Linked DNA regions of Mus musculus. The protein of the gene in region 1 interacts with the protein of each later gene in a pairwise test. Links are inferred from orthologs where the notes say so. Each region holds a gene or a part of one and is shown on either strand. Other genes may lie near its edges.

Region 1 (4,162 bases):
GCTTCCAGCTCTTCGCCAAAGGACAGCTGGCAGGCCTCGTGAGAACAAAGGTGAGCCACAGGGCTCCACTGTCCCCACAGTGACAGTGCCATGGGGTGGGGGAGGGTAAGAGAGCAGACTCAGGCTAGAGTGTGATCTAAGCAGCTCTGATAAGGTTGCCACCCAGAATGTCCAAACTGTCTTGTAAGCTTGGACCTACAGCGAGAGTGATTTAGTTCCTGCCGGATGTCAGGACATCCTGAAACACAAGGCCTGACCTTGGAGGCCAAGTGCAGTCAGTAGGCATAGTTAATCCGATGGTTCAGTGGGCTGCATGGCTCACTGCCTCTCTCCTCAGCGACCTCTGAACAGTGCTTGCCTCCTGCCAGAGGACAGCTGAGCTCAGTAGGAGGGACAGCTGAGGGTCAGGGAACCAGGACTTCCCCAGGACCCCCACGGAGGTCTCAGGGAATGGAAAGGATCACTCTGTCTTCCAGTTCCAACTGTCCCCTGTGTTCAGTGTACCCTTTGCTCCTCTGCTGAGCCTCAGTTTCCACATCTGTAGACTGGGCCTGAGGGTTGTTTTCCAAAGCAGAGTAAACAAAGTCATTTCAGTTACAGTGTCCTTGAAGGCCATCACAAAGACCAGGCAAAACATTTTGCGGTTTTGTTTGAAGCATCAGTGAGCTGTAAGATTTGAACCTCATAGATCACAGCTTTAAATAGGTGGCTGTGGGCTGCAAAGACAGGCCGGTGCAGGGGAAGGTGGCAGGGAAGAGGACTCCTTTTCCGGTGGCCCCCAAAGTACAGGGCTGCTGTGGCCAAAATCAAGTCACTGCCCACTGTTGTCTGCCTTAAGTAGCCTCAAGGAAAGCACCTCTCTGCATGGATCGGAGTGGACACCAGGCAGGCCTTGTCTACCCTTAAAGGACCAAGCAGTGGACCACCAGTACTCATCAGTGCAAAGCCAAGTCCTTTCTGAGGACTGGGAGACATGGTTCCAAGTCAGGAATCTCTGGGCAAGCGCAGCTTCCAGCAGAAGTCCCCAGAGACCCTTGCAAGTAAAACTGTCCCTTTTCCGGGGGAAAGAGGAGAGGGCAAGGACAGGAACCTGCCCCAGAGACCTGGACCCATTAAGCTGATGGGAGTGGGGGCGGAGCTTAGGGGATAGGGGTGGGGCCCTGCGAACTTTGGCTGCTTGGCTCCCAGCCCAGCCTCCCGCCTCCAGTTCTCCGCCTACTTGGAACAAACACTTCCTGCCTGGGACCTGCGGGCCTATAAATACAGCCTCCTAGGGGGTGGACACATTAGGCCTGTGGCCTAGGGAAGCCCAGGCTCGTACCAGCAGGTAAGAGGCTCTGGCAGAGGCTCCCGACCAGTTCAGAGGAGGGTGCAGAGGTGGCCTGAAATCCAGACACTTGCTGCACAGCTTAGGGGGTGACAGTCTTCTCCCCCTGGAAAGCTAGGCATTGGCTTTACCATCTATAAAATAGTTCTGTGGTGACAGTCGTGTGGGTGGGAACAGTCGACCTTCTGAATGTCTGAGTCCCCCTTCTCAGCTTAGGTCCTCAGAGAGAAAAGTGGGGAGAGCGACACTCACCCTCAGAACATTCCAGAAGAGGGACTGAGGTTGCAAGGGGGAACAAAAATTTGGCTGCTGGTGTCTTGAACTTGGCTTCTGGGTACAGGTGGGTCACAGTTGGCATCCCCCTGCCTCAGACTCTTCTGTGGGGAGCTCACCCTACTGTTCAGGCTCTGGATACTTAGATTCCACATCTCTTGTGCAGTTCTTCCCCACACTGGGAGATGTCCTCCCTACCTGGGTCCCGGGAGCCCCTGCTCCGTGTGGCTGTGACTGGAGGCACCCACGGGAATGAGATGTGTGGTGTCTACCTGGCCCGGTACTGGCTACAGAACCCAGGGGAGCTGCAGAGACCCAGCTTCTCAGCCATGCCGGTTCTGGCCAACCCAGCAGCCACAGCTGCCTGTTGCCGTTACCTGGACCGTGATCTCAACCGCTCCTGCACCCTCACCTTCCTTGGGTGAGTACCCTCAGCCAGGCTGGCCGGTCCACAGCCAGGTACTAGCATCCCTACAGACTGGTCACAGTGGCTAGCAAGGCATCTCTGTCTTTTCTCAATGACCATATGGTTTAGCGAGATCCAGATCAATGTCACCTCTTCCAGGAAGTCTGCCCAGTAGGCCAGACTCTTACCAGCTGAAGTGAGACATACATGGGGAACAGGACCAACATGTCAGCTTCAGGTTACTGGAGGCACAGAAAAAGACTGGGGTGAAGGTGGGACTACATGGAGCATCCAGCCTGACCAAGAGAAGTCAGGGAAGGCTTCTTGTAGGAGGTGGCATCCAGCTAATCTCCCCCCTCCCCCACCAAAGGTGAGAAGTTAGCCAAGGAAAGGGAGACTGAGATGATGGGGACTGATGTCCCCCATTCCTTTCCCCACAGTTCCACCGCTACCCCTGATGACCCCTATGAAGTGAAAAGAGCCCGAGAGTTGAACCAGCTGCTGGGTCCCAAGGGCACAGGCCAGGCTTTTGACTTTACCCTAGACCTGCACAACACCACAGCAAACACTGGAGTCTGCCTCATCTCTGAATCCAACATCTCCTTCAACTTGCACCTGTGCCACTACCTACAGGTGGTCCCTAGGGGGCAGGAAGGAGGGCGGGGAGGGGGCAGAGGGACCAGTGCCACCTGAGGTACTCCAGGCTCGCCTTAACCTTCCAACCAAGGAAAAGAGGTGGGGCAGGGTGGACGACCCTGTGCCTCCTGCACACTGCTCTTCCCAGCGTCAGTGCCTCAGTTTCCCCTCAAGAAGGCCTGGGTCCTGACTGGTGCCTCTCACCCCACAGCGGCAGAACCCGGGGATGCCCTGCCGCCTCTTTCTGTATGAGCCAGCTGGGACGGAGACCTTCAGCGTGGAATCTATATCCAAGAATGGAATCTGTGAGCTGACGGGTGGGAAGGAGAGCAGGAGGAGTAGGCAGGGAGGGGGAGGAGTCAGGAGGGGCGGAGTTAGGAAGGGTAGAAAATAAGCAGAATTGGGGGGGGAACCTCCTACCATGGCTAGGCCTGGGCCGTTTGCCTGACATCTCCTTTTCTGGCCCCCCAGGTCTGGAGATGGGCCCACAGCCTCAGGGCGTGCTGCGGGCCGACCTGTTCTCCCGGATGCGAGCTCTGGTGGCATCCATTCTGGACTTCATCGAGCTCTTCAACCAAGGTGAGACCCCCCAGTAGCTTTTCAGGAAAACTGAGGTCTGAGGAAAGGGTTGGCTTCTGGAAACCAGAGGGACAAGTGGTCACACACAGCCTCTACACAGGCATGGACTTACCCGCCTTTGAGATGGATATCTACAGGAACTTGGGCAGTGTGGACTTCCCACGCACTGCAGATGGTGACCTGGCTGGCACTGTGCACCCTCAACTGCAGGTTGGTGTTGTGGGAGCCGGGGTGGGGGTACCCAGAACATCCGACTGAACCCCTAGTAGAATCCTGAGCTGGACCAGAAGTTGGTGCAGTCCACACCTGCACCTAGAGCCCCGCCCCAGCCTGGCATTTGGAGCAGCTGAAATCTTCACAGTGGAGTAGGGAGGCTGGTGGATGCTGCCCTCCTTTAACAGGAGAAGCCAAGGGGAGGAGACAGGACGCAAGTCACCTGCTTAGAAGTACAAGTATTCTTTTTCCATGGAAATGTGAAAAGCTCCATGCCTGGGAGCTGACTGTCCACAAGGGGCGCTGTTAAACAGGCTCTTGTGCAGTCCTGTAGCCTTTTTCTACAGCAGTCTTAGTAGTTTTAATCTCATTTATGACATCTGGGAGAGCATCCTAAGCCAGACCTGCCCATATGCTTTGCAAATGATGTGTAACAACAGCTATTTTAGAGATTTTACTTTAAAAAATATAAACATGTTCAGTATTTTGTCCAAGAAGAGAGAGTGTATACAGGAGTGATTCTGATAAGATTATTTCTTTTCTTTTCTTTTTTTTTTAAGATTATTTATGTGAGTACATTGTTACTGTCTTCAGACACACCAGAAGAGGACATTGGATCTCATTACAGATGGTTGTGAGCCACCATGTGGTTGCTGGGAATTGAACTCAGTACCTAAGGAATAGCAGTCAGTGTTCTTAACCGCTAAGCCATCTCTCCAGCCCGAGAG
Region 2 (3,582 bases), on another chromosome or scaffold:
AAGCATTAAGAGAGGTGGCTGCTCTTAGACCCAGGTGAGATGACACGGGGAAAGCAGCAGAGGACCTGTCCATGAAGTGACAGGGAGTGGTGAGCAAGGATATGAAAGAGACAAGCTGCGTCCTTCTCCAAAGGTGTTAGTCTCTCTCCCTCCTCTCCCAGGCTGTGCTGGGGCTGGTGCTCAGGAGCCCCAGGCAAGCTGCACCCCCAGCCCTGCTGAGCCTTGTATCCTCCCCATCCTGCAGGTGGCCAAATCAGCATTGACGTCTTTCCTGAAGGATGGGATAAGCGGTATTGCCTGAGACACCTGGAACATGCTGGCTATAAGACCATTTATTTCTTTGGAGACAAGACTATGCCGGTAAATAGGAAGGTCTCCTGTGCTGTTTTGCCATCTTGCATCCTACCTGATGGCCTCCCTCCCCTCAGAGCTTTGAGGTCCTGCCCAGTGGGAGCAAGGACTGTAGATGGTCATCAGTGTGTCCTTTGAATTAAGTATCTTCACTACTGCTGCTTTATGATTCTGCTCTACCCTCCCTCCTGTGTTCATAGTAAATTGCACGCTAGGGTAACAAACATGGGAAGGTGGGGCATTATCTGAGTCTGATGCGCACTGTTAGTCGGGATAACTTGAAGTGAGCATCTGCCTAGTGTCACCCAGAGTGCTGGAGACCACAGTGAGAGCTTGCAGAAAGCCCAGTTCAGCATAGACGAGGTCTGAGCGCCGTCGTTTCCCCAGAGCCACTCTGCAGCCTCTGAGGCTCTCCCTGCACAGCTGCCTACGGCCACGACCCAAGGCCTGAGAGGTGCTTTAGAACCAGCTACTTAGCGCTGTGCTTGGCCTTGGGTCCCGGTTGTGTGTCAGCTTCTCACCTTGCACTGCCCATGTCACCTTTTTGTAGGATCCTGGTTCAGGCATGGTAGCCGTTGTGAACCCTGTAGGGCATCCATCATAAATGCTGCAACTGCGGCTCTGGTCCCTTTGACAGCTGCTCACCCTGTCGGGATCAACACTGTCCAAGGTCTGCTTGCAGCAGGGTCCTGGTAACAGTGGATTATCTTACTTAGTGTGACATCCTCCAGATTTATCAACAATAAGAATCTCCTTTCTTAAGGCTAGATAATCCTGCACTGTATGGGTACGCAGTTTACTTAATCCATCCTTTGGCAGACTTGTGACTTTTGTTCTCTCAGTCACCATAAGTAATGCCTCTGTGAATGTGAGCCTGTGGCTCATTGTGTTTGGTTGTCTATCTGAGCTGACATGGCAGCCCCCCTTAGAAAACATAGGCGGCAGCCTCTGGACATTGTCGTGGGCAGCGGAAGCCAAATAAACAAGCAGGCCTGGACCGGGCAAAACCACTGCTGCTGCTCAGCAAGAAGAGCACAGCAGGAGAAGGCGGCCTGTGGTTGGGTGGCAGTGCACACTCTCAGGCCCAGCACTTGGGAGCCAGAGACAGGCAGATATCTGTTTAAGGCCGGCCTGGTCCACACGGTGAGTTTCAGGTCAGCTAGGGCTATACAGATAGACCCTGTCTTTAAAAATCAAAACAAAAACCAAAAGAGCCTATGAAATGTGAGGGAACAAATACTCAACCAACCATATATCTGTCGATCCAAAATGTACCAGACTCCTGCAACTCAGCAGCAAAGTAAGAACTCCATTTAAGGGCTGGGGAGATGCTCAGCAGGGAAGAGCACCGGCTGCTCTGCCAGCGGATCTGGGTTTGGTTCCCAGCACCTATATGGTGGTTCACAACTGTCTGTAATACCCGTCCCGTGGGAATCAGAAGCCCTGTTCTGTCCTCTGTAGGCATCAGGGCACAGTGATGCACAGACACACACGCAGGCAAAACACCCGTACATATAAAATAATAGAAACAAAGAACCTGATTTAACATGTCTGAAGACACACAGTGGACTCCTGAGCACATAGGGTTGACATCTGAATCACAGGTCATAAGAATGTATATCCAGGTCACAGTGAGAGCCAATTCTACTATTAGACTGGCCATTTTTAATAGACACACACAGAAGAAGGTAGAAATTAGTGACTCTTTACCTCAGAACAGTAGATGGTACAGTCAATATGGACAACTATATAGAGTGGTCTTCAAAAATCCAAAAATAGAACCTCTTATGATCCAGGAATCACACTGCTGAGTATAGATCCAAAAGACTAGCGATCTGGTCCTCGGAAGTCTTTACATGAGTGAGCTCCGTGAGCCATGAATAAATTCAGCAGAGAGGAGGGCAGTAGCAGCGTCTGTTAGGTAGGCTGCAGTAAAGATTCTGCTAGTGTGTGTGTCTGTCTGTCACGTTGCCCAGGTGGTGCGGGTCTTATCAGGTAGGACAGCATTGAGTTTGTTTCTTTGGGGAACTGGTTATCAGAATAGCTGGGATCAGATGTCTGCGTCTGCTTAAACGTGTCCAGTTTTTCACAACAATGTAGCTCTCTGACCAGATAATAGACCTAGTCCAAGGAGCTGTGACAGTGCTCCAAGCCAGCCAGCTCTGAAGCAAAGCAGCCTTGTTCTGAGGGTAGAATAACAGCACAACCATTCTCCCAGAATGTTCACACAACAGGCTTCTCTGCAATCACGACCCAGCCCCATGTGGTATGGGAATGCCATCTAGACGCCTTGCTGGAACTTCGCAGATGAAAATGCAATGAAGCTGATAGGACTCGAGGGTTTGCTACTCGGTTTACCTCTTGCATTACCACTGCTTTGAATCATGTTTTTATTAAGTGAATCCAGGTGTGGTGGTATATTCCTATAATCCTAACACTTGGGAGGCAGAGACTGGAGAATTGCATGTTGGAAGTCAACCTGAGCTAAGTAATGGGATTCTGTCTCGTATTCCTCCTCCCTGTCTCTCTTCTCTCTTTCTCATCTCTTTCCTCTCTGTCTCTCTCCTCTCTTTCCTCTTTCTCATCTCTCTTTCTCTGTCTCTCCTCTTCTCTCTCTCTCTTTCACTCTCTCACACATGCACACACACAGCTTGTTCTCTTTTGTATTCTGGTTTATAGCTGAGCTATGTCAGTTTAAAGCCATTCCCCTGCTCTAAAGAGGCAGGGTTGATCACATGGGGGGGAGGAGGTCTGCAAAAGTGAAAGAATGTGCAGCCAGCTGCAGCTCTCGCTCTGCATGTGGTTCTCAGGAGAGGGGTGCTCCGGGCACAGCCTCACAGTGGGCAGTCACTGCCTGCGCTGATTCAACCAGGACATTTTGCTGTTCATAGAATCCAAGGTTTAGGGCAAGTTTAGGGCAGTAACTCTTACTCTTTCCAGTTTTGAAAGGAGTAAGAGGGATTGGTTTGCTGACTGACGCTCAGATGGTAAGGGCCGAGGCGGGATATGAAGTCAGTCCCTGTGTGTTTTGCAGTGGATGCTTCCAAGTGCCTGCTGTGTGCTTTCTACAGAGGTCCTGTGCTTACAGACGCCCATCCCACTTGAGACTTCCTCTGAGACTCCTGTGCAGATCTCTCTACCTGCTGCTGGACTCACTCAGACTGCTGCCTACTTTGTAGTCCCCACCCTGCCTTCTTTCTTCCTGTCTGCTCGGATACTGTTACTGGGCCA
Region 3 (4,216 bases), on another chromosome or scaffold:
CTCTCTGTAGACCAGGCTGGCCTCAAACTCAGAAATCTGCCTGCCTCTGCCTCCCGAGTGCTGGGATTAAAGGCATTCGAAGAGCAACATTTTTATTGATGACACTAGAAACACAGCAGTTCCTAATCTTAAAATTTAAAAAGATTTTAGAGTGTGCTTAGTCTAGCACACATAAAGATTGTGTGTGTATACGATTGAAATCCTGTAACTATCCCTATTACGACAACTGATCTCCTTTGCCAGTTTTGTTCTGGATACTAATTTAAAACAACTGTATTTGTTTCACAGACATTCTTCTTCCTCTTCCTCTTCTTCTTCTTGTTTTTCGAGACAGAGTTTCTCTGTAGACCAGGCTGGCCTTGAACTCAGGATTCCGCCTGCCTCTGCCTCCCAAGTGCTGGGATTAAAGGCGTGTCCAACACCGCCCGGCAGCTCTCAATCTTCTTAATGCTTTAATATAGCTCCTCCTATTGCGGTGGTCTCCACCATATAATTATTTGTTACTACTTCATAACTGTAATTTTGCTGTTATGAATCATAATGCAAAATATGTTCTCCGATGGTCTTAGGCGACTCCTGTGATCCGCAGGTTGAGAACTGCTCAACAGGAGGCTAAAAAGAAAATTCCTGAATAAAACTTTAATAATAACCCAATTTCTACCCCTTTCCTGTTTAAACGGTGTGCTTTTCCCAGCCAGCCAGCCTAGATGCCTCTGCTATCTCTCCGCAGCGCCTAGTAAACGCTCTTCTAACCCAGCGTCATGGTAGCACCGAGTTCTAGGTACGCGAAGCAGTTGGCCGAGGGGAAGTTTTGAAAAGAGCGGAGTTCTTCGGCATAAGGTTACACAGGAGCCTGCGGGTCATGGGTGCGGTAAGCGCAGACCCCTGGCTTGGGAGAAAGCGACAGCAGGTGTTCGGCTGAATGGCCGAGCCGGGCGGGGTTGGCAGACGCGGTTGGGTGGCGAGAAGCAAAGCCTTTCCTGTTCCTTAGGGCGGGAGGCGTGGAGGCAGCTTCCGCCCATTCTTCCAGAGAACTTCGCGGACTGCTTAAGAGCCCTTTCCGAAGGCTAGCCCGAGTCAGGAAAGTCAGGTCAGGCGACCCAGTCCAGCCTCAGCTGGCTCAGACGCGCGTCACCTCTGCAGAGGCGCGCGTTCCCCAACCCCGCCGGGGGAGGCCCCCGAGTGGGTGTGGCCTCCGCTGAAGAGCCCGCCCCCCGTGCGGTCGCGTGGGGATGGAGGGGCGGGGCAAGGCGATGGGCGGGGCGAGGGAGCCGGGAAGAAAGGGCAGGGCGGGTGTGCTCGTGCCCGTGTTTGGCGCTTGGGCGGGGGCGCGCCGGTGCGCGCGCAGGAGGGAAGCCAGCCGGAGCGGCCGTTGTCGGGTTCGACTGGAGGGGCGGTGAAGTCACCTGCGAGCGGCTGCGCCCGCCGCGTCCGGATCGCGCCGGCCTCGCGGGGCCCCACGCAACCCTGCGAGGCTGGGGTCGGGGAGCAGGCGGAGTCCGCGCCCGGAGTCGGCGACTAGGAGGACTCGCACCCTCGGCGCCGCCGCCCGCGCGGGGTCGGGTAGGTGCCATGGGGGTCGGGACGCACCGGGCGGCGGCGGGCTGGGGAGGGAGAAGCGAAACTTTGCGGGCGCCTATCCCCGCGGGCCCGGGCCAGCCGTGGCGCGGGGAGGGGTTGGCGCGGGCGGCGGCGGCCGACGCCATGTTGGGGTCTGTGGGAAACGGGGCGCTCGGGCGGCTCCCCTCCGGGCCGGCGCTCGGGCTGGAACCGCCTGGGTCCCGCCGCGCCCGTCCGCGGGACGCCGCCCGGAGGGCCAGGGCCGGGACCATAGACGGCGGCTGGGGACTGGACCTCGCGTCGCCCCCGAAGTTGTGGGGCAGCAGGACTCGGGTCCCCAGATCGTGCGGTCTGAAAACTTTGCAGGGTCTGGGCGTCAGGGGCACGCTCTGACTCCAGCAGTTTATTTTATGACTTTATATGAAAATGGCACCGTACAATTGGCTCAGATAGGAGCGGTAGCTTACACGCTACTTGAAGGGTTTTTTTTTTTTAAGTTTTATGATCTTTTGCCTAGTTTTTTTTTTTTTTTAATGTTATTAAAGGCCAAGAGCTGGTTCCCCAAGTTGCTCGAGTAGCCTTGTATAGTCCTCGAATATTAAAGCAGTAAGTTGTGTGAGTGTGCAGTGGAAATGACTAGTATTCAGGTTACATACACCTAAGCAGTAATTCAGACTCCCAAGTACATTAAACTGGTAAATGCCTTCTTTGTTATGTTTTAATATGTTGCCTAAGAGACTCGTTAAAGAACCATTTAGAGTTGAACGTTCAGTTGAAACGTTAAGGCATGTGTTGTCTTAAGACTAAGTGAAATAACCCAGTGTGTTGGCTCATGCCGGTTTTCTGAGCACTCCCGCGGGCTAGGGCAGAAGCATTGCCGCGAGTTCAAGGCCAGCCTTGGCTACAGCTTGAGTCTGAAACAAACAACCCCAGGACCACAACAAACAGATTAGGGTGATTTTGACGATTCAGTTTTTTTTTTATTCTTTTTCCTTTTCGTTCCTTAAAGGTGCATGAGTTTTGAGCCCCTATCTTTGTACCTTTATAGCTTAAGGGGTGGGAGGACCCAGGTTAAATCAGAATTAACCCAGGCTATTTTTAATCACTATGGGTCATGAGAGCATTGGGAGGTGAATGGTATTAAGTTGCTTATTTGGAAAGCTCTTTATAATCGCCCCTGCCCCCAAATGAAACTGGTGTACAGCATGAAGTAGCCTAGTAAATAAATACCCTTAAAAAAATAAAGGCGGCTTTAAAATTATGTTAAATGGGCTGAAAAGACTCTTAACAATGCAGAAGCCGTAAACAGCCGTGGTGGTTTTCCTTTTTTACTCTTTAGTTTTTTAAAATCATTCTACTATGTGGGGAAGGAGGAGGCACGCAGCCCCAGACCTCACGCAGAGAGGTCAGAAGACAAATTTCCTGAGTTTCTTCTCTTCACCATGTGATTATGGGGATGGAATTTAGGTTGTCAGGCTTGGGGGCCAGCTGCTATCATTACTTTCTGAGCCACTTTTCTGACCCCTCTATTTTTAATTATATCGTGTGTGTGTGTGTGTGTGTGTGTGTGTGTGTGTACATTTGTGTGGGCACATGGCACAACTGTGGAGGTCAAAGGGATAACTTTGGAAGTTGCTTCTCCATCCACCTTCTGCCCCAGGATAGAGCTGAGGCTGTCAGGCCTGGCCTCAGAGCCTTACCCCACAGAGCCATCCCTGCCCCTCTTTTTAGTGTTTAGTAGGTAAAAGTACTTTCTTAGGTATGCCAACTTTCTTTAAATTTTTCTTTAATTTTTGCTCCCTTGTCAGGTCACTTCCATTTGATATATATTTATTTTTTGGACCAAAAATTATTTATCAGAAAGAAGTTACTAGCCTGATATCACAAATCTTAGTAGTCAGTCTGCAGCCATCTGATCGTTTCTAGAGCATGGCATAACTCATCCCTGTGTGGGCATTCTCTTGCCCATCTCGTTTCTTCACTTATCCTAATTCAGGCTTCAGTAGAACTGTCTGCTAAAGAGCTGATAATGCAAGGGTATGATACTGACTGTTTTCTTCTTAAAAACTTTTTGTGGAAGCTGGGGGTGTAGTGGAGCACGGCTGTAATCCCAGCACCCTGAGGCCAAATTGCTGAGGGGTTGATCTGGGATTCATAGTGAGACTGTCTCAAAACCAACCAAAACCAAATCTACCCTCAAACCTGCCCTCTTTGATGCTTTCCCACCCACTGTGCAGACCAGCTTCCTCTTTCTCCATTGGATTCAACCCTAGGCGTCCTAGACCTACCACCTAGGTCTGTAATGGCACGCCCTTGACGGCAGGCCTCATGTGAGGTCCCATTTGCTTGTCCATCTTCCGCAAGCCAGAATGGAGCAGATGCTCAGGGGAGGCTTAGATGGTTCCCTGTAAATAGTCTTCATAAACTTACTAAATTGTCATTTATCCGTGGGATAGCTAAGCTTCTCCGTCGTCTGCCCTACGCACTACAAACTCCATTCAGTTGGCGGATGAAGGGCTTGAATTTGTGTGTGTGTTTTCTTTTTAGACACAATTAACTATTTCCAAGCAGATAATAGACTGATGGATAGTTGTGATGGAGAGAAGCTGTGGATGGACAAAAGGATGAAAAAAATCAGTTTAAAATGGGATTGAAT

Evidence for each region.
Region 2: the proteins of Acy3 (region 1) and Pmm2 interact in binary tests that used the Homo sapiens proteins (3 or more experiments, as listed by UniProt). The two-hybrid records come from large-scale screens. The link is inferred for Mus musculus from reciprocal best matches to the Homo sapiens genes ACY3 and PMM2.
Region 3: the proteins of Acy3 (region 1) and Plekhf2 interact in binary tests that used the Homo sapiens proteins (3 or more experiments, as listed by UniProt). The two-hybrid records come from large-scale screens. The link is inferred for Mus musculus from reciprocal best matches to the Homo sapiens genes ACY3 and PLEKHF2.

The regions. Positions count from the first base shown.
Region 1 is NC_000085.6:3,985,285-3,989,446, forward strand, and holds the start of Acy3 (N-acyl-aromatic-L-amino acid amidohydrolase (carboxylate-forming)), read left to right. Parts: upstream 1-1,285; 5' UTR 1,286-1,327; intron 1,328-1,538; 5' UTR 1,539-1,667; intron 1,668-1,766; 5' UTR 1,767-1,785; coding exon 1,786-2,021; intron 2,022-2,446; coding exon 2,447-2,639; intron 2,640-2,853; coding exon 2,854-2,947; intron 2,948-3,113; coding exon 3,114-3,221; intron 3,222-3,321; coding exon 3,322-3,431; intron 3,432-4,162. UniProt on the Homo sapiens protein: Plays an important role in deacetylating mercapturic acids in kidney proximal tubules. Also acts on N-acetyl-aromatic amino acids.
Region 2 is NC_000082.6:8,651,166-8,654,747, forward strand, and holds part of Pmm2 (phosphomannomutase 2), read left to right. Parts: intron 1-244; coding exon 245-360; intron 361-3,582. UniProt on the Homo sapiens protein: Involved in the synthesis of the GDP-mannose and dolichol-phosphate-mannose required for a number of critical mannosyl transfer reactions.
Region 3 is NC_000070.6:11,004,740-11,008,955, reverse strand, and holds the start of Plekhf2 (pleckstrin homology domain-containing family F member 2), read left to right. Parts: upstream 1-1,336; 5' UTR 1,337-1,563; intron 1,564-4,216. UniProt on the Homo sapiens protein: May play a role in early endosome fusion upstream of RAB5, hence regulating receptor trafficking and fluid-phase transport. Enhances cellular sensitivity to TNF-induced apoptosis.